Linked DNA regions of Ovis aries. The protein of the gene in region 2 interacts with the protein of the main gene of each other region in a pairwise test. Links are inferred from orthologs where the notes say so. Each region holds a gene or a part of one and is shown on either strand. Other genes may lie near its edges. The genes, in order: ZNRF2, UBE2D3, TRIM17, ZNRF1, AMFR, TRIM27 and RFWD3.

What was found.
Region 1: the proteins of UBE2D3 (region 2) and ZNRF2 interact in a two-hybrid assay, tested with the Homo sapiens proteins (2 studies listed by BioGRID). The link is inferred for Ovis aries from reciprocal best matches to the Homo sapiens genes UBE2D3 and ZNRF2.
Region 3: the proteins of UBE2D3 (region 2) and TRIM17 interact in a two-hybrid assay, tested with the Homo sapiens proteins (2 studies listed by BioGRID and IntAct). The link is inferred for Ovis aries from reciprocal best matches to the Homo sapiens genes UBE2D3 and TRIM17.
Region 4: the proteins of UBE2D3 (region 2) and ZNRF1 interact in binary tests that used the Homo sapiens proteins (3 or more experiments, as listed by UniProt). The link is inferred for Ovis aries from reciprocal best matches to the Homo sapiens genes UBE2D3 and ZNRF1.
Region 5: the proteins of UBE2D3 (region 2) and AMFR interact in a two-hybrid assay, tested with the Homo sapiens proteins (2 studies listed by BioGRID and IntAct). The link is inferred for Ovis aries from reciprocal best matches to the Homo sapiens genes UBE2D3 and AMFR.
Region 6: the proteins of UBE2D3 (region 2) and TRIM27 interact in a two-hybrid assay, tested with the Homo sapiens proteins (2 studies listed by BioGRID and IntAct). The link is inferred for Ovis aries from reciprocal best matches to the Homo sapiens genes UBE2D3 and TRIM27.
Region 7: the proteins of UBE2D3 (region 2) and RFWD3 interact in a two-hybrid assay, tested with the Homo sapiens proteins (2 studies listed by BioGRID and IntAct). The link is inferred for Ovis aries from reciprocal best matches to the Homo sapiens genes UBE2D3 and RFWD3.

The regions. Positions count from the first base shown.
Region 1 is NC_056057.1:67,506,637-67,510,136, forward strand, and holds part of ZNRF2 (E3 ubiquitin-protein ligase ZNRF2), read right to left. Parts: intron 3,291-3,500; coding exon 3,185-3,290; intron 1-3,184. UniProt on the Homo sapiens protein: E3 ubiquitin-protein ligase that plays a role in the establishment and maintenance of neuronal transmission and plasticity. Ubiquitinates the Na(+)/K(+) ATPase alpha-1 subunit/ATP1A1 and thereby influences its endocytosis and/or degradation.
Region 2 is NC_056059.1:22,312,629-22,316,906, reverse strand, and holds the start of UBE2D3 (ubiquitin-conjugating enzyme E2 D3), read right to left. Parts: upstream 2,801-4,278; 5' UTR 2,757-2,800; coding exon of another isoform or gene 2,654-2,756; 5' UTR 2,511-2,653; intron 2,430-2,510; exon of another isoform or gene 2,287-2,429; intron 1-2,286. Other genes in the region: CISD2 (CDGSH iron-sulfur domain-containing protein 2), read left to right, coding at 2,654-2,756. UniProt on the Homo sapiens protein: Accepts ubiquitin from the E1 complex and catalyzes its covalent attachment to other proteins. In vitro catalyzes 'Lys-11'-, as well as 'Lys-48'-linked polyubiquitination.
Region 3 is NC_056058.1:2,393,056-2,397,190, reverse strand, and holds the start of TRIM17 (E3 ubiquitin-protein ligase TRIM17), read right to left. Parts: upstream 2,801-4,135; 5' UTR 1,951-2,800; coding exon 1,375-1,950; intron 869-1,374; exon of another isoform or gene 15-868; coding exon 1-14. UniProt on the Homo sapiens protein: E3 ubiquitin ligase that plays important roles in the regulation of neuronal apoptosis, selective autophagy or cell proliferation.
Region 4 is NC_056067.1:1,851,305-1,855,323, reverse strand, and holds the start of ZNRF1 (E3 ubiquitin-protein ligase ZNRF1), read right to left. Parts: upstream 2,801-4,019; 5' UTR 2,271-2,800; coding exon 1,847-2,270; intron 1-1,846. UniProt on the Homo sapiens protein: E3 ubiquitin-protein ligase that plays a role in different processes including cell differentiation, receptor recycling or regulation of inflammation. Mediates the ubiquitination of AKT1 and GLUL, thereby playing a role in neuron cells differentiation.
Region 5 is NC_056067.1:23,727,652-23,731,151, reverse strand, and holds part of AMFR (E3 ubiquitin-protein ligase AMFR), read right to left. Parts: intron 2,523-3,500; coding exon 2,482-2,522; intron 2,322-2,481; coding exon 2,189-2,321; intron 600-2,188; coding exon 466-599; intron 1-465. UniProt on the Homo sapiens protein: E3 ubiquitin-protein ligase that mediates the polyubiquitination of lysine and cysteine residues on target proteins, such as CD3D, CYP3A4, CFTR, INSIG1, SOAT2/ACAT2 and APOB for proteasomal degradation.
Region 6 is NC_056073.1:29,131,340-29,133,931, reverse strand, and holds the end of TRIM27 (zinc finger protein RFP), read right to left. Parts: intron 2,145-2,592; coding exon 1,549-2,144; 3' UTR 501-1,548; downstream 1-500. UniProt on the Homo sapiens protein: E3 ubiquitin-protein ligase that mediates ubiquitination of various substrates and thereby plays a role in diffent processes including proliferation, innate immunity, apoptosis, immune response or autophagy.
Region 7 is NC_056067.1:1,596,559-1,600,058, forward strand, and holds part of RFWD3 (E3 ubiquitin-protein ligase RFWD3), read right to left. Parts: intron 1,964-3,500; 5' UTR 1,962-1,963; coding exon 1,384-1,961; intron 1-1,383. UniProt on the Homo sapiens protein: E3 ubiquitin-protein ligase required for the repair of DNA interstrand cross-links (ICL) in response to DNA damage. Plays a key role in RPA-mediated DNA damage signaling and repair.

The DNA.
Region 1 (3,500 bases), on a different chromosome or scaffold from region 2:
TATAGGATAAGTACCCCATCACCACCACCCAACATCACTTACTTCTTTATGATTGTCTTGACTATTCCTGACCCTTTGCTCTTTTGTCCATATATATGTAAGAAACAACTTGTCAAGCTATCTGAAAAAACTAGTTGAGATTTGATTGAAATAGTATTAACTACATAGATTTGGGTGCAGTGACATCTTTATGATATTGAGTTTTCCCATCCACAAAATCGTATGCCACGTATTTATTTTAGACTTTCTATAATATCTTCGAGGAATGTTTTAAAATCTTGAATATCTTTTTGTAAGATTTATTCTTAATAAATCTTATTCCTGTTGCAGTTTCTGTTGCTATTAATGTTATTATCCTAAAAGTTATATATATATGTATTTTTTTACTGGGATATGAATGCAACTTATTTCATATGTTGAGCTCCTATCAGACAACCTAGCTAAATTCTTATTAATTTTAACATATTATCTGTTATTATTTGCTTTTGATTTTAAATTAATAGCAAATAGAGTTTATTAATATAGTCTTCTTCCTTTGCTAATGAGGTAAATTATATACACAAATTTTCTAATCATATAGTGTTTTTACATCACTATTAATAACATAAATCCAATTTGGTCAAGAGGCTTTATTTTACATATATACTGATGAACTTGGTTTGCTACTATGTTTTCAGATTTTGCATTTATGTTCATAAATGAGAGTGTCTTTTAGTTTTCTTTCTTATACTGTTCTTGTCTGACACGGGTATCAAGTATATACTATACTCATAAAATAAGTGGGAGAACCGTCCATCATTATCTACTTTTTGGAGGAATTTATGATTATTAACACAGTGTTTTGTTGTAGCTGTTTAGTTGCTAAGTCATGTTCGACTCTTCGTGACCCTATGGATTGTAGCTCGCCAGACTCCTCTGTCCATGGGGTTTCCCAGGCAAGAAATACTAGAGCGGGCTGCCATTTCCCTCTGCAGGGGACCTTCCCAGCCTAGGGACAGACCTGGCGTCTCCTGCATCATAGTCAGACTCTCTGCCACTGAGCCATCACGGAAGCCCACCCCATGTTCGGCTACGTGGTCAACTTGCCATCAAACTGTCATGGTAGGCCTGTCTTTAGTGTTTTGTTTCGGCTTTTTAAAAACCAGTTGTTACTTTCGGGGGCTAGTCTTAATAACTACTTAGGATAGTTACTACTTTATTTGGATTTCCTATTTCTTTTTGAGTCATTTTGGACAATATTATATTTCTAAGCAAATTACCTGTTTTAAAATTTTTAGGTGAAAAGTATAAAATTTTTCACAGAATTTTCCAACTATTTTAATTCCTGTTATATCTAAAGTTATGTGTTCCTTTTCATTCTAACACTGTTTATTTTTTCCTTCTAGACACAATCTTGCCAGTGGCTAACCTATTTTATTATTCTTTTCAAAGAATCAACTTTTGACTTTGTTAGTCTCTATTCTAGTGTATAATTTTTTCATTCAATTTTTTCTTCTCTGATCTTTGTTTCCTTTGTGTTTATCCTGCTATCAATTTTCTAATTCAGGTAAAATCTTGGACTATTGATTTCCAGTCTTTCTTTCCACAGTAACACAAATCTTGCAAGGATCACCCTAGAAAAATGCTGAGAAGGTTTTCATTATTATTCAGAATATTTTCTAAGTTCCATTATGATTTCTTCTTTGATCTATAAGTTACTTAAGAGTATTTGTGAAGATCATTTATCTTTTGTCATTGACATCTAACTGCGCTCAGAGAACAAAACAGCTTTCTGTATGGTACCAGCTTTTTGTGGTTTACTAAGATCTGCCTTGTGGCCTAGTACATGACCAATTTCTACAATATTTTGTATGTTCCTGGCAAGAAAATGTATTCTCTAAATTGCTGAGTGTAGATACATCCATTAATACTCATGAGATCAAATCTGTTCACCGTACTGTTCAATTTTTCTAGGTCTTAACTAGTTATGTGTACGCCTGTTTGACTCAATGAGAAGTATATTCAAATTTTCAATTACCATGATGATTTCTCAATTTTTTCTAACCATTCTACAAATATTTTACTTTGAGACTGTGTTCTCTGGTGCAGGAAAGAATGTAGTTTTTATATACTATTATCATCATATAATGATTTGGAGGGATTGATAATGATAATGGAGGGATTCCCTGGTGGCTCAGACAGTAAAGCGTCTGCCCACAATGCGCGAGACCCGGGTTAGATCCCCAGGTCGGAAAGATCCCCTGGAGAAGGAAATGGCAACCCACTCTAGTATTCTTGCGTAGAAAATCCCGTGGATGGAGGAGCCTGGTGGGCTACAGTCCATGGGGTCGCAAAGAGTCAGGACATGACTAAGCAACTTCATTCATGGATCATCATATAACACTAGTAATACTTTTTTCAATAAAGTTAATTTTCTCCAATATTAATTTAGCTTTGTCAGTTTTATTTATTTAACATTTGCCTGGATATAGTCTTCTATCCCTTTAAGTCCATATTGTTCTGTACCCTTATGTTTAAGTGTGCTGCTCATCAACAGCATATTCCAACCTTTTGATTTGTTTTCACCTGGTTAGTTTGACCATTTGGATTTATTATAATTCCTGATATTGGATCTATTTTTGCCTCTTTGTTTTGGTACTATTTACTATTTTCTCCAACGTCCACACCCTGCTTTTAAATAAAATTCCAAGTTATTTCCACTATTGCTTTTAAAGTTATAGTTTTCTGTTCTTTTTGTAGTTTACTTTAAATCATCTTAAATCAAATTTTTCCTTGTTGCCCTAAAACCAAAACACTTTATCAGAAACCAGATGGGCTTTGGAGTCAAACAGACATGGCTGGAATCTCAGTTCTTTCATTTATTCCTAGCCATGTGACCATGCCCCCCAGCTTATTTCCTCAACGGTACAATGAGACTGTTGTAATGCTTACATAAGATAACCTATTCAAGAAGCTACAGACAATACCTGGGTCATAGTAAATGCTTAACAAATGGTAGACTATGAGATGTAAACAGATTTTTATTACCAACAAGGGAAAAAAAGCCTTTTTAATTTTTTTTAAAGAAATGGGGGAAGGGAGTTTCAATCAAGAAGAAACCTTTCATCCGTAACTACAAAATTTGAAACTTTGAGCAAAGTCTTTTAGTCTAATATCAATTTGGCTGACATAAAAGCAAACTCACCCTTTATGATATATGCACAGACAAGGCAGCCGTGCTATAGTATCTCCCTGCTGCAGTTCTTCAAGGCATATTGCACATTCCCCAGCATCTTTACTCAGTACGTCCTCTGAGAAAAAAGAAAATGCATTTAGGACAACAGAACTAAAAGAATTATGTGAATGCTGACTTATACAGAGTGGTGTCTGGCATATTTTTGTCAGAAGCACATAAAATTCAGCACCTATATTTGAAATACTATTTGTAACTCACTAAACAATGTTTACCTTTACTTACAGTGTCTCTCAATTTCATTTAGATTTCACGGAGGCATTACAGT
Region 2 (4,278 bases):
GTAAGAAATAAACACTTATAATAAAACCAGATTTTGGGACGTCCCTGGTGGTCCAGTGGTTAAGACTCCAACCTTCTGTAGGGGGTGTGGGTCTCATCTCTGGTTGGGGTCCCTCACACCATGTGACATGGCCAAATTAATTAATTTTTGAAACCCCACATTTTGTTGGGTATTACATCAGAAGATGATACTGGGGAAGATTTAAGAGCAGGAGGCGAATGGGGCAACAGAGGATGAGATGGTTGGATGGCATCACCGGCTCAATGGAGATGAGTTTGAGCAAACTCCAGGAGATAGTGAAGGACAGGAAAGCCTGGTGTGTTGTAGTCCACGGGGTCACAGAGTTGGAGGTGACTTAGAAACTTAACAACAACATCAGAAGGTGGTCAGACAAGCCTGCCACTTCTGTTTGTAACAATTACCTTCAGCTCCTCTACTTTACGTTCTGCCAAGAAAGTAGGGTGGTAGAAATGAAGTGGAAATTAAAAAATACAGCAAAACACGACTTAAAATTTAAAGCAAAGGGAATGTAAGAAAATGTTCCCTAAAATGCACAATAAGGGTTTTTTTTTAATTGGTGGGGTTAGGAACTATCTCCTTTTATACATTGTATATATACATATATATAATTACTTAGTGGATCAGAAATAGCTAATGTATGTCTACACATCTTGAAATTTTAAGACAAAAAAAAGAAAAATGTTTCATCCATATAGACTTCTATTCACTGCATTTCTTCTACTTGGATAGCAAAACAGCTATCCACTGCTCAAAGAAGTCAGTCACAAAAGAACTACATAGAGGATAACTTAACTACATAGAGGATAATTTCTTTTATATGATGTAAGAACATGTAAAGGAAGAATGGTGCTGGTGGTGGTAAGGGGATGTGATTAGCAGGGACATAGAGAGACTCCATGGTGTGTTTGGTGTATTCTGTATATGTGGATCTGGGTGTTGGTTACACACTTGAGCATTTTATTATATATCTCTTAACTGAGGTATGTATCTCTTAATCCTTTAAAGAAAAACTTCTTAGAGGCCTTAGGAATCTCACTTAACACAGCTTGCTTTGCTCCTGTCAAGACAACAAAGCCTCTAAATAAGAAACGAATCTTTAGTGGCCTCTCTACGCTTTCTTCCCCTAATGGCCCCACTCCCGCAAACCACCCTGCCTCAACCACCTCCCAAAACAACAGTCTTAAGGACAAGGCAGTTGAGCTCATCATTTTCAGGATAAACAAGCTCCAGGATCCTTCTTCCACTAAATCAAAAGTAAGCTCCCAGGAGTAAACTGAAAGGAATCTGAATGTAAACACCAACCTTTCAATCATCATTTCTACCCTAGCTCATGAACATGAATCTGTATCTAAACATCTTGGTAGAAATTTCCATTATAATTTTACTTGCACAATTTTGACCAGGGTAAAATGACAGAAAATCAATTTATCTAGATTTCAATTAATTCTCTTACTGAGGATTATTTTTTTAGTGAAGGACGATAACAAATATTAAACAGTCCAGAGAATGAAAAGTTGCTTTAAAAACATTCCTTTTCACTTTAGGATGAAATACCAAGAAAAAAATTTTTTAAAACTTACATATTAACAATTGGTTGTTACATTTTAAGTCATACAAGGTGAAATACTGGCCCTTGTGCAGTTCATTGTTCTATGCTGTCGGTCAAGCAGGGTTCAGAAAGGAAATAAGGCTGGGTTATTAAGATACAAATACACAACGTGCAATCAGCAAGTGCATTACTTCGGATACTTTAAAAACATGAAACAAAGTCATGTCAAGGAAGGTGCTTCAAGGGACTGAAGCTATCTCCTTTCTATTTTTTCGGTGTTAATAAACCTAAATAAAAATTAAAGCTCTCCAAGGATACTTTAGTTTGCAGCAGAAGCCCTACAACATGAAATAAGGGAAACCCTAAATCTTCATATTCTTTCACCACTTTCCCAGTTTTAGTTAACCGGAAAAAAAAAATTTGATCTACAGAAGAAGAATTATCTACTGAAAACAGATATCTAACTAAGGACTCTAACGGGTCTGGTCTGAGTCAAGGTCTCGGAGCAGTTTGGCTAAACAGCCTAGGAGCAAGGTTGTGAGCAGTGCCTAGTTTAGGTATCTTCTTTCTTAAAAAAAAAAAAAAAGAAGCCAGATTTGTAGAGGGGAGAGAGCGAAATTAGGCGCTGCGGGGTTCGGCGGAAAGGGTGCTCTAAGGAGAATTTGCAATTCTGGGGTCGTGGCCCGAGGTAAAAAGCGACGCCCGGAGAAACTCACTTTTGAAAGGCACCTTCCGGTTACACAGTACTCTCACGTGCTTTACCTCCTCGGACACAGTATCGTTTCCTGGGCCTCCGGACGTGAAAGGCCCACCGTGAAGGCCCTCTTCCACCTCAAGACGCACAGGCGGGCCTCGCTGCCCCACGGCCGCCCGCGCCCCTTCGGCCTCCGCGGGGCGCGCACGTCACCGGCCCGCTGCCAATCGGCGCCGGGCAGCTCACCTCTCCGCGCTGGGGCCCCCAGCCCCGCCCCGGCCTGGTCCCGGCAGAGAGCGCCGGTCGGCCGCTTCCGCTCTGGGCGCAGGCGCAGCAGCTCCGCCGGAGAGCCGCGGGAGTCGGGCGAGGAGCGGACGCCGCCGGCCAGGATGGTGCTGGAGAGCGTGGCCCGCATCGTAAAGGTGCAGCTCCCCGCGTATCTGAAGCGGCTTCCAGTGCCCGAGAGTATTACCGGGTTCGCCCGACTCACAGGTAATCCGAGCCTTCAGCCGGTCCCCATCCTTGCGAGCTTCCCCAGGCGGAGGGTGGGGGCGGGCATCTGAAAGACCTCGGCCGAGGGGCGGGGCGGAGCCTGGCGGGTGGCGCGTGACCTGGGATCCCACTCCAGTATTCTTGCCTGGAGAATCCCGTGGACAGAGGAGGCTGGTGAGCTACAGTCTGTGGTTTCGCAAGGAGTCGGACAGGACTGAGCACAGCACCCCACTACCATTCTCACTGCAGTCGCGGAGTAGGTGGGCACGCGCAGGCCCTGCATCCTCGGAGTGTATGTGAGGCCGCATCTTGGGACTTGGCGGCCCCCTGAGCTTATCTTCATGTCTGTCTGCAGTGTCTCTCCGTGTTGAGAGACCAGGTTTTTGCAGAGAAGGTGCTGAGTTGGGAACAGGCCCATTTTTTTCATCTCCGTCGCTCCCTGCAACGTTGCTGGTTTATTTTAAAGCAGGAAAAGTCGTTATCCAAGGCTCAAAGTCTCTGTGTATCAGGCTGTCCCAGCTCTTGGCTGAGTTTGACCCACATAGTGTGGGTGTGTCTGTGTGAGAGAGAAACACACATACACATGTATTTGGTGGTTTTATTTACTAACAAAATTAGACAATTCCAGTTCCAAGGGGGAGTGTCAACCTGTTACGGGGTCATTTGAGGTCATCACCGTATCACGGGCCTGGAAGCAATTTAGTTTACTCGAGTTGGAGGAAAGATACTTTTGCTGGTATGACAGACCAAAAATTAGAAAGTGAAATTTACTGATGACATGTAACATTTGCACTTAAGTTCCCTCCTTTACAAAATAGAACCCACAGCGCGGGATTTCATATCTAAAAGATGAACATTTCCAGAATGCTGCCAACACTTGGAAGATTTTGTTGGGTTCTGAGCCTTACAATCCAAGTGAGATATGGGTAAGCCAGACTCAGGGACTGATTAGGATGATGGTGGGGGGAGGAGGGTGGGGAAGGCGGTTATTGATAAAGCAATCATTGAACTCATATGTTCTGACTGATTACCAGGGAATGTAAGCATGAGTTAAGATAATTTTGAGGTAAATAGGGCTGCTTCTGGAGCAGTTTAGACATCTGTGGTAGCTGACTTAAAATGCAGTATTTGGAAGGCTGACAGGTAGAAGAAAAGATGCATTTTGTGTAGACCAGAAGACAACTAGGGCCAAGTTAGTGATAGTTATTTGAACATGGATTTTAGTTGCATGTTAAAGGAATTCTTTTTTTTTTTTTTTAATTAGAGAATACTTTACCTTAATAGGGTGCTTTGAGAGCTATCCCCTCTCAGAGATTTTAAAAAAAAACAAAAGGCGGTGTCTGGTGGTGGATAGGCAAGATGTGGTAAACTAGATCTAAATCTAGTCTAAATCTAGAGATTCTTTAAATAATAATCACAGACATTTGCTTTGTTGACAAACGGATTATGAAAATTTAACATTTTTAGGTGTTAAAAGGTTTGACAGAAAGCATGTAATTGAATAGAAAGAGTGGTAACTGAG
Region 3 (4,135 bases), on a different chromosome or scaffold from region 2:
TCCTCCAGCTTCAACTGTGGTGCACCCAAACCATGGAATGTGGGGGTCAGTGGGCCCCCTGCATGCCACACATCCAAACAGTACCCTCTGAAGCTGCATCCACCCTGAACCATCCTAATGGGGTACAAGGGATGGAAGTATGCCACCCCCAACCCCCAAATCTGTCCCTTTGGCAGAAGGATTATTTTGAGCTGGATGCAGAAAGGTGCCTTCCAGGAGCTCCCATTGTCTGACCAGAAGCATCTCACTGGGGATAGTTTGTGCCCACGAAGAAGATGGCAAGTTGGTGTCAAGATGAACCTACACAAAAACCCCCTATCTTTCTTTACTTTCTCTCTCTCTCTCTCTCTGTCTATATATATTTCTGCTAGCACCTGAATGTGTGTGTCCCTCTGACATCCAAATTCATATACGGAAGCCCTAACTCCTGGTGTGATGGCAGAGGTGGGGCCTTTGGGAGGCGATGAGGTCGAGGCAGTAGGACCCACATGAATGGGATTAGTGCCATTATAAAAGAGACCCGAGAGAGGACGGCGAGACGCTGGCCGTGTGCGCACCAGAAAGGGACTCTCACCTGACTGTGCTCATCTCCAACGTCAGCCTCCAACTGTGAGCAATTGCTGTTATAAGCCACCCAGTCTGTGGAATTCTGTTACTGAGACACTTTCCCACAGTCTGCCACCCTTGGGAGCCTGCAGCTTTCACCTTTGTCCTGTTGCTTTTCTCCAAATGTACTGTTCTTTGTTAAGATGCTTATATAAGCCCAAGTTCTAATTGACTTTTTTTTTAAACTGTTGCTGCAGTTTCTCCCAAGTGACTGGTATAGCAGGCAGGCATATGTTAGTAAACAGTTTGCCTTTCTCTTCAATTTGCCTTTGCTCAATCTAATTCATGGGCCCCCAGCCACAGAGCCTCAGGTGCATGGAGGGAAAAGGCTCCCCTCCCCCTGCCTGTCGGGGGGGGGCGGGGTTGCCTGGTTTGCCCACCCAGATGGCTGCACAAGGACCAGGGAGTATGGCTGGGGCTGGGTGGGGACTTGGTCAGTCTGGACTCCTGCATAATCATAGAGGTGACCCAAGATGGCATGGCCCCCAGCCTGCTTTGTTTTGGAGTAAGGGAGAAGGAAATGGCAGCCCATTCCAGTGTTCTTGCCTGGAGAATCCCAGGGACGGAGGAGCCTGGTGGGCTGCCGTCTATGGGGTCGCACAGAGTTGGATACAACTGAAGCGACTCAGCAGCAAGGGAACACTTCCACTGTGTGGTCCTGCATATGGGGCATTTGTTACAGCAGCCGTTCCCTGCTAATACCCTCCTTGACACATACGCATAGTTGGGCACCCTTGTCCCCTGTCCTGGCCCCCAGCCAGAACCCACCTTGTACGCTTGCACGGCCTCCTCGATAGGGACCACCCTGTGGGGCCGGTGCTCCTGGGACTCCCTGCAGATGAGGCAGATGGGCCTCTGGTCGTCCTCACAGAAGAGTTTGAGCAGCTCTCGGTGCACCGGGCACAGGTCCCTGCTCTGCGGGCTGGGGTGCTGCCGCACCATCTCGGCCACTTTGGTCAGCAGACGGTTGGGCCGCAGGTTCCTCTGGGGGGACAGCTCGCGGCACTCAGGGCAGGGAAAGGAGCCCTTCCGCTTTCTCCTCTTTTTCTGGCCTTTGGCCTTCTCCCAGGTCAGCTGGATGCACTCTCGGCAGAAATTGTGACCGCAGGTGGTCATCACGGGGTCTGTGAAGTAGTCAAGACAGATGGAGCACGTGGCCTCCTCCTGCAGCTTTCTGGCAAGTTCCACAGCATCCATGGTGCCTGGGGAAGGAATAGAGTGTCCTGCCACACGCTCTGCCTGGAGCCCTGAGCTCTTCAATAGCACTCTCTTGGCCTCCTTTTGAAGATGGGAGTCTGAACCTGGGGTTTTAGGGTACCCTGACTCACCTTCCATAAGGGGCATAGATGTCTCTCTCGAAGCTGACAAAGACCCTCTCCTTCAGCAAACCCCAGCCAGCTTCCCCTGAGCTGTAGGCTTGTCTTTGGCTGGCCCCACCCAGTTTCACAGTACTGTGAAATGTGCTGTGATATGTGATCTAGTTCCTCATCCCCCACCTATAATGAATTGATGTCCTTGACCCTCCTTGAGCAAGAATCCTCTTAGGCCTGTTTAGCAATAAGCCCCCTCTCCTCAGGGCACCTCTGGGTGATTTTCCATCACTGACCACCACCACTCCGCTCCTTGGCTACAGATCTGCAGCCGTCTCAGCTGCATTCCAGAGATGGCACTGCAACAATCTTGAATAGCCTTGCTTACTGTTTTAACAAGCACATAGGTTTCTCTTGAACAGAACTCCGCAGAACAAAGGAAAAAGGGAGTTTAAGAGGAAACATCTCTCTCATTAGGGAGCAGGGTTGACAGAGTTTCTCTCTTTAACCAACGCTTGCTCAGGCTCCAGAATTTTCCAACCAAGCCTTGGACTTACATGTTTGTCTCTACACTGTTCAAGTTTAGCAGAAATCCTGCTGCTGCTGCTGCTGCTGCTGCTAAGTCGCTTCAGTCGTGTCCGACTCTGTGCGACCCCATAGACAGCAGCCCACCAGGCTCCCCCATCCCTGGGATTCTCCAGGCAAGAACACTGGAGTGGGTTGCCATTTCCTTCTCCAATGCATGAAAGTGAAAAGTGAAAGTGAAGTCGCTCAGTCATGTCCGACTAGTAGCGATCCCATGGACTGCAGCCCACCAGGCTCCTCTGTCCATGGGATTTTCCAGGCAAGAGTACTGGAGTGGGGTGCCATTGCCTTCTCCAGAAATCCTGCTAGGTGGGTTTAACCAGAACCCCCCCTCCCCACCACTCACTGCTACTAAGATGTTTCCTCCTAGCAACTTCTTGTAACTGACCCTACCCTACTCCTTAAAAATCCCCACTGGCCCATGTTGTATTCAGAACTGAACTTCACAATTCTATATAGAAGGTCTAGTTCTATATAGAACCCCAGTTTCAATGAAACCCCAGTTTCTATGTTAATGTTTCCTCCTATTTCAATAGTCCCAAATAAAACCTGTTTTCACCCCTGTACCATCCAGCTCTGATTTTCCTTGACAAGGTGAAGTGCAGAAAAGATAAAGAGGGCCATTACACGCACACGTGCTCACACACAGGCACCGGAACACACATGTACATGTGCATGCATGTTTGGGACTGGCACACACAAAGAGAGGCACACGCAGAGGCACCTAGACCCGTGCACCAACATCTGAACACAAACTCACATGCACACACACTCTGGGTTGGAATACCCATGACTTGATGCAGTGGAGACCCAGTCCTCCTGGATGCACTTTACAGGGTGGTGGTTAGGGCTGAGTTAGAGTGGATTTAAACATCACTTCTTTACAATATTGTAGAATAATAATTTAAAAATAAACAGTATAAATTTAAGCAAAAATAAATAAATAAACATCATTTCTGAATTATTAACGCAAGCACTGTCCAGGTTCCCTTCTATGCAGTCTGAAACTATGATGGCTGGATTCTGCAGATTCCTGAATCGCTGACATGGGTCCACTTTGTCTCTGGGAAGAGCCCTTGGCGTGAGTCTCTCCCTCTGCTCTCAGCTGCCCTTCGTCCCGACTGCTGCCCACCCAGCAGAAGCTGGGTGAGAGTGGGGCAGTCTGGGCGCTAGGCTCTGGCTCAGGTTCTGGGGGAAGCCATCCAAGGGCTCTGGGCCAGTGATGGCAGACGGGCCTTCCTTGACCCCGGAATGTTACTCGGTAAATGCAGGGCTAAAATAGCGGGCTCTTCGTTCCAGTTTACAACCACCTTCAAAGCTGGGACAGCCACTCCACTAGGGCAGAGGGTGCACGGGGACCCAACCTGAGGCTCAGCACCCACAAGATGACCACCCGCCGGCTCCCTGAAGGGGGTGATGCTTACGGGGTAAAGCAGTGCACGCTGCACCTCGCCAGGCACCCCGAACTACGCCTCCAAACGCGGCCCAGGAAAGCCTGCTTTGAGGCGATGGAAACCACCTGGGCGGGGATCCGAGGGCGCTGGGCTTAGGGCATTGTGGCGTCAGCAGGAGCCCGAGATCGAGGGGCGGGGCCGTAATCACGTGGGGGACGGGGAGGCTTCGTTGGCGAGCGG
Region 4 (4,019 bases), on a different chromosome or scaffold from region 2:
AATATTAACAGCAGCCCCCCCCAACACACACTTCAATGTCAATCCCTCAAGGGATTAATATGCTTCAACTTTCCCTGTAGTCCCTGGTTCAGCAGGTCTTCCTAACCTCTAGCTGGAAAAAGGAAAAAAAAAAAAATTAACGTTTTACAGCTGAAGAGTCTGAATTTTAGAATCCAAATGCAAGCTCATAACTCTGGCATGGAACCTGGTGGCGGAATAAGGAAAAAGAACTTTCTGGTAAAAGAAAAGAAATTTGAGTGGAAAAAGGGAACTCCTACTCTAAGATTACATTCCTGCAACACACAAAATTCTACCTGTGACTTTTGAGAACTGTCTTATAGTGCTTTTCTGTTTAAACTCAGACACTAATGACAGCTTTCTTAAAAACTTAACTACAATCACCTCAAAAATACACCTGACCCTTTCTGGACCAAATTTTATAAGGAAGATTACTAAGTTTAAGATGTCTAAAGCTGATCAAATGATGTCTGAAAGTGCCAGAGGTAATCACACCCTACATCTCTTCAGGGCAGTGTCCAAATTATATCTAGAAGTCTGTTCAGGGATTAAAATTCCATCCTAGCAATTAAAAGCCACTTTCAAGGATTACCCTAAATTAGTCACTATTCCTCCCGAAAACTCATTTCACAATCGGTTTAAAGAACTGAAAAAAAAATTAACATTATTTCCAGAAATAGAGATCCAAAGTGTCTCCCCTATTTCACAAGAGCAAGCAGTGATCCAACAGATAAATCCTCCATAGAGCAATCTTTCTTCTACACAGTATCTAAATTTTCTGAAGTCGCCCAAAGGAGTCTGAATATGTTAACTTCTTTACTCCAACTCGCCAATTAGTAAATAGCAGCCCCACACCCCTTCTGACCAATTTTCTGGAGGCCTAACCTGGTTTCTCAGGTTAGCTAAGCAGACAGACCTGTTTTCCTCCAGAAGCTCCTGCCAGTGTCTTTTCTGCCCTGCCAGAGTCTAGGAAATCCTCCTCCAGCTTTTTGCTGACCTGTCACCAGAAGTTCACAAAATGAATTCATCCAGGTCCTTTGACTCCTCCTTTCCCCCCGACATGTGCCAACAGCAGTGCAAGAGAACTGCCATGTCTTGGTCACAAGAAGATGCAGAATACCCAAGCACTTCAGCATGGAGGAGAAGAAGAAAGATGGAGGGATCCAAGAGACACTGAGCCAAGGCTGCTACTGCATGCAGCACGGGTAACCAGGGCCCCAGTCACGCAAAGCCTCCCAGGGAGGCTCCCTGGCTGCGCCCTCCGACCAGCAGGCCACACCTGTCTATGGCAGCAGCCTGTCGGCCGCTCCATTTTAAACAATTCAGATTTCCAGCACAGCCGCAAAACTGGGCACCCACTTCTCCAGCAAGAGCAAGTGCCCTCATCCAAACCCCACTTGGCCCCAATCTTCTCTTCACATCCTTTGTCTGAGATGCTCGGTCCAATTGGATCCCTTCTGTGTTACCGGTGCACCCAGCACAATGCAGCAGTAACAGAAAGGAAGCACGGAGGCCGACTTGCGACCAGCCAGACTTCTCTGAGGACGGGGAGGCCAATGAATGAGACTTCAACAGGCATCCACAAGTGAACCAACGCCTGAAGTCCTCACACACCTGGCTCTCCTCGGCCTCTCAGAAAGCCTCATTTCTAGAGAGTGGGTATTCCATTCATCCCTTGGCTTCGGGAACCAAGAGGACGACAGCCAGATCCAGGTACCGCACTTTTACCTCCAGACCTTTTGCGTGCACGCGTGCGAAGGTGCGGGGCACCTCGGCGCGCCCTCCCTGGCACCCCACCCTCCGAGGCCTCTGGCGCCCGCGGACTCACCACTGTGCGAGCTGAACCACCGGGGTGCGATGTGCAGAGGTAGAGCATCCGCTAGCGAGGCTCGGGAGCCCAGGTACAGCATCCCGTCTCTATGGTGACCGCCACCCGTCTCCTGGTAACCATTGCCGTGGGCATAGGTGGAGTCGGACGTCGACCCTCCGCTGCCGGGCGCCCTCTCGGCGTCGCCGGTCCCTCGGGAGGCGGGGGTGTAGAGGCCAAAGGGCACCCCGCTGGCCGTGCTGGGGTCCATGCCCATGCCCGCCACGGAGCTGACCGAGCGGCTGCGGAGCCCCATGGCCCCGCCGCCCGCCCGGTAGTGCCCGAAGTGGGGCGCCCCTCCCGGCGGGGGCACGGCGCTGTCGTCGGTGGAGACCCCCGGGAAGGGGCCGCGCGAGCGGGCCGCTGTGCTCTGCTTGCCGCCCATGCTCGCCCGGGCCCCGGCGGGGCGGGAGCCTGCAGGCCGAGACCCTCCCCCTGTCCTCAGCGGCGGGGGCAGGGCTGGGCGGGCATACGGGGGAGCAAAAAGGAGACCGGAGGGGAAGGGAAAAAGGAAAAAGAGAGGACCCGAGCAGGACCCAGACTACGGGCTGCAGGCGTCCCGAGCCCGGCGCATGATTCCCCTCAAGGTCCGGAGAGGCGAGGCGCGCGGGCTCGGCGCGCCCCAGGCCGCCCCCGGGCTCCCGAGGGCCGGGCGCCGCGGGGAGGAGGCCGCCCGCCCGGCAGCGGCCGCCGGAGGAGGAGGGCGGGGGCGCCGGCGCGTGCCGCCTCAAGACGCCGCGGCCGGGACGGCGGCCCGGACCCCCGAGGCCCGGGCGGGCTGCGGCGCCGGCGGCCCGCGGAGCTCGCGAAGCCGCGCTCGCGTCGCGCTCTCGGCCCTGCCGCGCGGGCCCCGCCGGCCGCGCCGCTCGCTCCCGGGCTGCGCTCGCCGGCGCTCCTCGCCGCCGCGGAGACAATGGAGGGCGGCAGCGCGCAGGCGCGGCGGCGCCCCCGCCCCCGCCCCCCGCGTTAACCCCTTCGCGGCCCGCGCGGCGCCGGGCGGGGACTCGGGGCGTGGACGCCTCGCCCGCCCCGCCCGGCCCGGCCCTGCCCTGTCCGATGGCCCCGGGGCAGGCGTGGTCCGAGCCGCTGGAGCTCAGGACCAGAGGCGACGCGGCACCTTTAAGCCCCCAAGAGCAGCTGGTCATTCAGGGGGAATCCCCCCGTGGGCGGAGGGGCGGCGGTGGTCCAAAGGGTGGGAAAGAAACCCGGGGAAGAAGAAAAAGGACTCCAGACGCCTACCTAGCCCCGAGGGTCACTGGTCAAGCTCCCTTCCCGGCACGAATTTGCCCCCGCAGCACCCTCTGGTGGACTTGCTGTCCGTTCTATCTGAGGTTCAATGTCCTGGAATCCCCAACACCAGGAAGTTTAGCGTTTTGGGGCTCGATAGTTTTTCCGGGATTAAACAGGGCTGGGGGGTGTGTAGGGGGGGTGTTGCTTGTGATTTCAGATTTTGCTGCCAATAGATCAGAACTTCCTATTTTGGACTTAAGCAAATGGGTAGATCCTTAAGATAAAATGCGACTCTGAAAATCATCAGGTGTACGATTAAAAAAAAATAACAGACGTGGAAATCTAATAATGCAGCTAGAACTAGTGATTTTAGAAACTCCCTGGTTCAAGGAAGGACTCCTGTTTTGTTTACCGTTTATCCAGGTATGCATCGCAGGGCCTGGGACACAGCAGGTACCCAATATTTGCTCACCGAGTCTGCGTTTTGCAATGTCTCCCTCACATATTCACATTCACTCACTCATTCCATTCTTTCGTTCATTCATTTGTTCAACAGCTATTTTTTTAAGTGCTGAGTGCTGCCTAGGACTGTCTGTCACTCAGTCCCTGGTCTAACTGACTTCCTTGTTCTAAATGTCAGATACTTCCAAATCAAGGAGCCAAAACAGGGTGCAAAGAAATATTAAAACTGAAAAAAGAAAGGTTGATCTGTCATAGGTATTGATTGTCTCAGTGTGACCAGCTTGGAAGGAATAGGCGGCCTTTGCAAGCAGCAAAAAGCCCTGCAGAAGGAAGTTGAGATTTCTGTATGAGAAATGATGAAGGAAAAAACAATGTTTTAATACCCAAAACATTATCTGTAAGTTTCCAAATGGGGAATTTGTATACAGCTAAGATCCAAATG
Region 5 (3,500 bases), on a different chromosome or scaffold from region 2:
GGGTTTAGTCTCAGGATGCCAAGTGAACACCTCAGTGAGGTTAAGAGTGTGAGAGACAGAATGTATGTTTGTGTGTGTGGATGTAAGCATGCATGTGTAAGGAATAAAAAGGGCAGAAGCCCAAGGAGACTTCCATTTAAAAATAATGATGATAAAAATAACGATGTAATAAAAGAACCTAATATTTATCCAGTACTGTTCTAAGTATATTATGTTCATTATCCCACTGAATCCACCCAACATTCCAGGAAGAAGGTATTATTATCCCTAGTCTTAAGCAACCCAGGCACAGGGAGCTAAGTAAATTGTCCAGAATCACACGGTAACTAAGCAGGCTTCACATCTAGGCAGCCTGACTCCCGAGCCTGCACTCTTCACCATTCCATTAACAGCTGAAAAAAGCAGGGATATAACCCAGGCTCCGTCATTATTAAAGATCTCAAACGTGTCAACCTGCTGACTCACCTGGCTTCCATGTTCCCGACCACTCGCAAGTAGTTCTTGTGCCGGCGGATGCGACGCTGCACTTCATGAAACAGGTAACGCAGCTGCATGAAGATGACCAAGCTGGCCATGGACAACCAGATGTTGCCAAACAACTTGATGAGAGGGAGAGAGAGTAGAATGCACAATAAGGGTCAACGCGAACTGGCTAGCGCTAAGGGCGAGGCCAGCGACGGAAGGTCTGAGTCGTGGGTAAAGGTGAGCAGGAGCAGGCACTGGCGAAGCAAACGCGCATACTTCTCTCACGACTCTCAACACTGCCCATGCTCTTCATTCCATCCACAGCCATCTGTTCTGAGGAACTCACCAGAAAGTTTAAAGCTTTATGCCAAATGATGTACATTCATGCAATTATAAAACAGAAAATCAGGAAACAGACCAAACGCCCAGCAGGGGAACAGTTATACTGTGAACTCACATAATGTAATATTATATATTCATTACATGTATCATAAAATATAATTATATCCTATTATATTGTATATATAACATTTTGAAGATTAATAAAATGGGTAAATAATATTTTAAGTGAAAAGAGGAAAAAAGTACTTCAAAAAAAATAATATATGACCAAAAAATTATATAAAGATGTGAAGAGGCAAACAACTGAATAAAATCTAAATACTCATTATGGGATCAGGGTGTTCAACAGCTAGGGGTAGAGAATTGAAGGAAGGAAAGTGGTCAAAAGGTACTAACTTTCAGTTATAAGATAAAAACTTAGTGGGGATGTAACATACGACATGATAACTATAGTCATAACAGCGCTGTATAATGTATTTCAATTAAATCATCATACTTCTGTTGCGGAATTTTTATCTTAAAGGTATTAAAATGATTTAGAAGAAATGTTGCTAGCATAGGAAGGTGCACAGAATACAACAGCTACAAAAACCTAAGCTATATGCCCAATACATGATGAACATATGGCTGTGAATAAATAAAGAAGCAGTAACCACCAAAAAAAGTCAACACTTAACTTTGGACATTTGTTGGTGGGGTGGGGGGGGGGCTTTTTTTTTAAAGTACATTTTCAAAGTCATTTTTTAAAAGTACACTTAGAAATGTGCTATGTTCAACTCCCAAATTTTTAAATGCTACTTTGACTGGCTTACTATATAAACAAATTGCCCATCAAATATGTTGATTCTCACCATTCTGAGATCACTGAAGTGCTAACCAGGGAAGCAGGTTTTCAACATGGTGATTTCTTGCACACCAAAGTAAAATGCAAACAATGAAGTAGGAGAAATTAAGAATAAAGACTTTGCTTTTAATTACAAAGATGGAACATTTATGCATCCATGAAGCACCTAACACTGTGGGAGTCCCCTTTACCACCTACAAAGTAACTGCTAAAGATCAGAAGCCACAGAATCTATGAGGAGAGGAATTCTCTTAATACCAAGCTAGAAGAATTATCTACTGACTTTGTCAGCAGAGTGAGTTAAGTCTCCTGGGAGGACAGCAAGCACCTCTTGAGCTGGGCACCAAAGCTGTTCCACACTGTTTTACACCCATTGGCCAGGAAGAAAAAAAAGGGGAGGGGCACAGTTGCATCATTTTCATAGTCTTTTACGTGGGTCATCCACAAATGTTTCACTTATTAAACTCTGTACTAAACAGAGTTCCTGATTCTAAAAACCTCAGCTCTCTCTGTAGGAGTTCCCTCTGGGAAACTTACCAACATGTGAATATGGTGCATGAGGTCCAAGGACAAGAGAGTGAGCTCCATGACGAAATCTGTGTAATAGACATACGTCCCCTTTCCTTCCCATGTCCCTTCATGGTTGAGGTCCCAGAGGTGAATTACATATCTGCCACGAACAGAGAAGAATCGTGTTAATGATTTACTGTTGCAATTGAATTTGTTTTAAATAGGATAGACTCATGTTTTTACAATTTTTTTACACGTTATATTTTAAAATCAACTGTACGAGTAGACTTCCATCACCTCCCTCCCAAATTTCTACTCACCGTAAAATCACATGAGCAGTCCTCACTGTCACAAGAAGAGACTATTTTAAAAAAGAGAGATTTTTTTTTTCCTTTTAGTAAAGTTTAGGATTGCTCAGACCAAATTAACTTTTGCAAAATGATAAAAGACAAACATTTCTCAGTTCAATTAAAAAGCAGGTTGTTCAATGGCTGTGGGGGTGAGGGGGACTTGGAGGATGGCAGTCACAAGCTACCAGTTATAAGGTAAATAAGTACGGGGGAGGTAATGTATAACATGACTACAGGCAATAGTGCTGTGTCGTATACTTCAAAGTTGTGAACAGAGGACATCCTAAAAAGTTTCATCACAGGGAAAAAAACATTGTGGGAGTATTAAGAGGATACTTATTGTGGTAATAATCATTTCACAAATTATTATCATCATTATGTTGTACACCTTAAACTTATACAGACTGTATATCTCATTAAAACTGAAAGAAAAAAAAAGCAAGTTACCAACCATTTTAGTCCATGTGCTTCAAATTTGCATTGCATATTCTCATGACCTAGAAACTCAACTTTTATTGAGCCTTTTCCTGTTTATAGGTGACAACCAACTACACCTGTCCAGCTCCTGGGGATGCCTTCCACAGTCTTGAGGTCACTGAGTTTGACAATCACTTCTATTTTGTACAGCACTGAATCATCGTAACTGATAACCTGAAGAGGCTGTCTGAATGCCTGGTGACCATTTACCCAAGGTGAGGTTTAGACCCTGCTATCCTAGACATCTACGAGTCCCTGCCTGCTGCATAATGCTTTCTGCACCCTGTTCATTGACACAGAAGAAAACCGAATGCATGAAATCAATAACAAAATAAGACCTTCATGGTATTTTGCATTATAGAAACTGATGCTAAGAAAAGTTTCCTCTTAATCTAGAATTAAACATAAACATTCTTAGAGATTAGAAAACTTTCATTTACAAATAGAAAATATTTTGCACAGAAGAAAAACACTATAAAAACATGATTTAGTTCAAAATATCAAATCTATAA
Region 6 (2,592 bases), on a different chromosome or scaffold from region 2:
ATCTTCAGCCATGAACCACAATGTTGGGTACAAGACTAAGACCACAAAATCTTGTCATCTTGAGGTCATGTCCAAAAGCAGAAAAGATCGAAAACCTCCTGGAAAAGAGCTGTCCTCTCAGCATATTTTTCCTCCTTAGAATGTGGTGCCCTCCATGACCCTAAGGGCTTAGGCTGCTGCTTCTGAGGTGGGAAGCAAGCTCTGGGCGCTCTGATCTATACCAAGCATTGCTGCATACCCCACTGTCAGTTATAAGCACTTGAGAGAACACTTTTCCAGAGACGTGACAGGATTAGCCAATACAAAGCTGTAGGCTATGGAAGTCCAACACTAGTTTCCAAGCACCAGTAGAAAGCAGTGACATGGTACTGTTTTTATCATCCAGTTGAAAGTAAAATACTGACCAGAATGAGATTCTCAAACCATAGAGGTTAATAGTGTTGATTTCCTCCAATATCTATGAACCCAGTCCTACCAAGACCCAGAAAATAACAACAGTGTAAACAACATCCATACTCACTTTATTTTTAAACAGAGGAGCATGTACCCAAAGAAAGAGAAGACTAAGAACCATCATGGGGGCTTGTGCTAAGTGATCTGCCTTGGCTTTCTGACCTCAGAATGCCTCGTGATCCAATGGCCATAGGGATGGAATAGCCCCTTGATGGTACACACATCAGAAAGGTAAACTCCCTCTTCCCTTGAAATAGAAGGGAGAAATGGAGACAAGTCAATGAATCCCCTGGAATATTGCCCCAGAATCCTTCCAGGGATAGGGTATGACTGACCATCAGTCCACAAATGGAAGTGGGATGGGAGGTAGGAACAATGAGTGGTGTTGAGCAGAAAATAATCCCGGATGATGTGCATCCAGGACTAGGATACACTTTTCATTAGAATGAAGGGAGCTGACAAAGCCCTCAAAAAGATAGAGGCAAAGAGCACATTGATTAGAATATTATCTCCTAACAGAGGTGGGGCTATTTCCCACCATTACTGTAAAATAACTGTAACTAATCAAAACACATACAGGCCTCTTTAATGGAGTTAATAAAACTACAGCAGATTGGGAATCAGGGGTAGAGGTACTAATCCCAAAGGAAAAACTGGGACAAAGGGATCCATGCTGACAGGACTTTAGTCCAGCTGTGGGTTCTCAGAAAGAAGCCCTGGTTCAGAAACGACAGCAAATACCCATGATCACTATATGGGGCTGAGCCCAGGTGTAAGAATCTTGAATGGCTCTCCTAACCCAAGATTATCCATATTCTTTATCCCCTCCAGTAATGTATAAGACCAAGAAGTGTGGAACACTGGAGGTGGACATCTGGTTTTTATTTCTGGGCAATCTCGATAACTTATTACATCTCACAATTTTCATGGGAAGGGGGGGATGGCAGAGAACACAGACATCCTGTCTTGCACTGCAGGGCACGGAAAGTGGTAAGAACATCCAGCTGTGATGGGCAGGAAGTGGCAAGGCAACAAGATGCCTCATGCCTGGGGTGGGAGTACAGCCAGCAGCCCTTCTGGCCTGAGTTCACCTCCTCAAGGGGAGGTCTCCATGGAATGACCATGATTCCCAACATGGCCAGAAAACCCATCGATGCCACTCATGGGACAGATGATCAGAGGAGCTGCGCTCTTCCCTCCAGAGTAACTCAGACTGAAGTAGGGCCGGACAGGCCCACAGAAGGTAGCATGAGAGAAAGTAAAGGTGTGACACCTCTCTGTCACGTTGTAGAAGGAGACCTCGCCAGCATCATAGTCCAAGAAAATCCCCACCCGTTGGAGAGGGGTCCGCAGGGGGAGGGCAGTCATTGGGGAGGTGAGAGCCCAGTATTCTTTCCCATACCACAAGGACACTGCCCAGAATCCATTCTGGGGGGCTGAGGTTACCCCACCTTTTCTGCACACTGAGTCTTCACAGACACCTATGGTCCACTTGGCTTTATCTCCCACCTCTACCTCCCAATAGTGTCTCCCAGCGATGAAGCATGGAGAGCCCAAGACACAGGGAAACAGATTGAACCGCTCAGGGTTGTCGGGCAGGTCCTGCTGGAGGTAACTGTACCGCACTTGCCGCAGGTTATCAGAGAGGATCAGGCTGGGGTAGGCTGTGTCTGGGTCCAGAGTCACATCCACTGCAGAGAAATACAGGGGCAGAGGAGGATTAGCCAAGCACCAGGACAGCCCACTCTGAACACTCAGCTTTTCTCCTATCCCTGAGAAGAGAGTAAGAGCTCTCCAGCAAAGACACATTCATTTTATACATTTAAGTCCACCCTGAAGCTGACATTCCCAAAATTACTGTTTGGATTAGGTAGTTATCTCATTTAGCTAGGATATACTGGAAGTACTGAAATTTTTACCTTGCTTTTCCACATTTTAAACCACAATATCCGTTATAAGCTGAATTTAAGGTTTTCTTATGTGTATGTCCAACCCCTTAATCCGAAAGCCACAGGGTCCAGAAGTTTACAGTATTTAGACAGAGAGGGTGTGGTGTAGCACTCTACAACCAATACTAACAGATCTGCTGTGAAACATATGGATATTCACATTATATCAGATAAAGACACTAAATAGTGC
Region 7 (3,500 bases), on a different chromosome or scaffold from region 2:
AAATCATTGTAAATGGCACCTTAAAATAACAGAGCAGCATGCACTTGCAACTCCTGTCAACACAGAACTAGGCTCTTCTCACCCTTGATGGATCACATCCAGCACTGACCAGGCATTAGAGACTACAGCCACAGTAACAGCAGCCCTGATACACTAATCAGCAGGATCCATTGAAAAGGATGCTGAAATCCAAAATCAGAAGGCACAATTCCAAGTCCAGGGTTATCTCAGTCAAATCATAAATCACCCCATCATCTTCCTCATTTGTAAAACACAGATAACAGATGGCCCAGCTACCACTATTTAGTGCCATCTCATTCTTTTCAATATTTATTTTTTATTATTTGTTTGGCTGTGCCGGGTCTTAGTTGTGGCATGCAAACTATCAGTTGCCACATGTGGGATTAAGTTCTCTAACCAGGGATTGATCCCAGGCCCCCTGCATTGGGAGTGCAGAGTCTTAGGCGCGGGACCACCATGGAAGCCTCTCATTATTTTCACAGTGTTAGAGAAATGGATCTGATTGAAGCTTCCTTTATTTGCTTTTGTAGACAACAGTCAGATCCAGGTTCCAACATCAGCTCTAACTTCCTCTGTACTGTCAACTCCGAGACCCTGAATAGATCATTCTCTCAGGGTCCAAGTTTCTTTCACATTTAAAATGAAAAGGTTGAATTCAATTTCTTTCAACATTATGAAGACATTTAGAAAGCCAGCTGTGGAACTAAGTATTTCAAATAAAGCAGAAGTTAAAAAACAGATTAAAATATAGACAACTGTTATTCTTCATAATAACTGTCAAGACTTGACAGCTAACCCCTTCAAGAGGCAAGTTCAAACCAAAACCTATAGAAGAAAATTATTTTTAACTCTACAACACAGTTTCAGGAGAGGAGGGCTAGAATGTTTCCCACTTAGTCAGATAAGTTCTATATTAATTCACACTCTACTTTTCACAAGGGTTCTCTAAATCCAGCCTGCCCATCTTACAAAATCTACTGTACCACTAAGTGGAGTGCCAATGAACAATGAATCTTGGGCAAGTGGAGTGGACTTGCAAGTTAAATATATATATGTATATATTTGATGTACAAGAGACAAATGATCGAAAGAAAAGCCAGCCTCTGCAGACACCACTGCTAACAAACTACCAACAAGTTTTCAAAACCTATCTGTATACCTTTATCCTCTCCACTACTTTGTGAAGTAAATAAACCAAGTAATTTCATTTTCATCTGACTTATGAGGTACTGGGGGTTCCGAAAGGTTACCCGACTTGCCAAGTCACAATGCCAATTCCTGGCAGCACTGGGGCTATCATCAGGGCCTAAAGTTCATAATTCCCAATCAGGTACTAATCCCACTATTTACATTTCTATTTACCTGGCACTGTTTGTCCTCTGGGACCCTCCTGCTCTTGCCCTCCGTGAAGCAGAACTCCTCCTATTCCTCCTCGCTCTCACGGGCCCCACACTGCGGTCTGAAGTTGGTCGCAGGAATTCCAGCATGCCATGAAGTCTCTGCAGCCCACTGATGAAGCTGTTCATTGAATCCAATGAAGGCACTTGGGGAGTGCGGTTAGCATCAGATTCCAGCCTAAACTCCTCTAAAACTCCTGGATTGAGGTTCCCCACAGTCTCTGTTCCTGAGAGCTCCACTTCCTCTGTCAGATCAACAGATATCTGCGGAATAGGCGGAAGCAGCGGCACTCTCTCTGGGCTGTTGATCACCTCCTCAGGAATGGGTTGGAGCAGGGGTGGTCCTCCTTCGATGCTGACCACCTCAGCAAGTATAGGATGCAACACGGGTGGTCCCTCCTGGCTGCTGACCTCCTCAGTATGAGGAGGCTGGAGCAGGGGTGGTCCCCCTTGGCTGCTGACCACTTCCGCAGGAGCAGGCTGATCTGCAGCACCATGATCTAATTGCACCTGAAGATCATATTCCATTGCTTCATGAGCCATCACTGAGGAAGCAATATTTGTAAAAAGTATTAGTAAAATGTATCAGCTACGTGGCATGTTTTATCTAATTATGTCTATCATTTAATACTTGTTTAAGATCATTCTTGATAAAACTGAGAAACTTAAAAGATGATTTTAGCTCTTTTCTTATAAGGACTTTTAACCAGTTATCCTGTTTGCCCTTCGAAAACATAAAGTCATGTGATCACAGCACTAGTCTTTAAAAGAATCTATAAAATAAGAGAACTGAACTATTGAAAATAATCCCCCAGACCTCTTGCAGTTCTGTCATGACCTATATATGGACATTTACTACAACAAATGCATACAATGCTATATTTAATTTTAGTAGGCAATATTCATCTTTCATGGCACTAAAGTGCAAAAAATAAACACAGAAAGAACATTTCCACAAAATAACTCAATTAATAACTCAAAATAGAAATTAACCTATTTCCTCCAAAAAGGCTGAGCAACCTTTATTTACTTCAACTTTTTCATTACTTTTGTTTTCTATCTCTAAGTCCATTTGTTAGTCCATTCAACAAATATTTATTAAGCACTGGTTATGTTCCTTTCATTATTTGTTTCCTGTCTCTACTCCACTACGTTAGTCTATTTTTCAAGAAATATTTAAGCATCTGTCATATAGTCAGACACTCCACAGAGGCAAACAGATAAGTGGACAAGACCCAGCATAATACAATTTACATTCTAGCAAATGAGAGAATAAACAAATCATTGTGAAAAATTATATATTGTGCCATTTGGTTTTGAGAGTGGGGGGCAAGACACAACAGTGAGAGGTGGCCTCTTATAAGTGAAAATTAAACCAAGACAAGAAGGATTAAAAGAAGTTGGCCGTATGAAGAGCCAAGAAAGAGTTTCAGAAGAAAATTAATACAAGGTGTCTGCTAAGTATGGGTTTAGTGCGTCAGAGAAACTAGGAAGCCCAGCATAACGAGAATAGTAAGAAAGAGCAGACAGTATGAGGTTTAATATGAGGAGTAAAGTTGATGATACACAACACTTTCACTAGAAGACCTTGGTAAGGAGTTTCTTCTGCGTTAGGAATGGACTGTAAGGGAGGAAAAGTGCAGGCAAAGTGACCACTTCATAGGCTATTATGAGAGTATAAACTAGTGGTCACAGAGGCAAGACTAGTAGCAGTGGAGATGGAACAGTAGACAGCTTTAAGAATCCTCAGTATAGTCATGCCACTTAAAATCTTGGGATAGATTAACTACCTAAGAAGGAGTTGAGATAGAAGAAAAGCAGGCCAAGGACCAATACCAGAGACATTAAAAGGATAACAGTTATAGGAAGAGAACCCAGAAACCAAGACCATGAGGTAGGAGAAAACCTGGGAGAGTGTGGTGTCTTGGAAGAATGATGCAAGGAGGGGACAGTCAAGTGTGTCAAGTGCTACTGAGGGGAAGAATGACCACTAGATTTAGCAATGTAGAGGTGACAGATAATCTAGAAAAGAGCTGTTTCCCCAAAGTGATGAGTAGAGGCCAGACTGGAGTGGTCAGCATA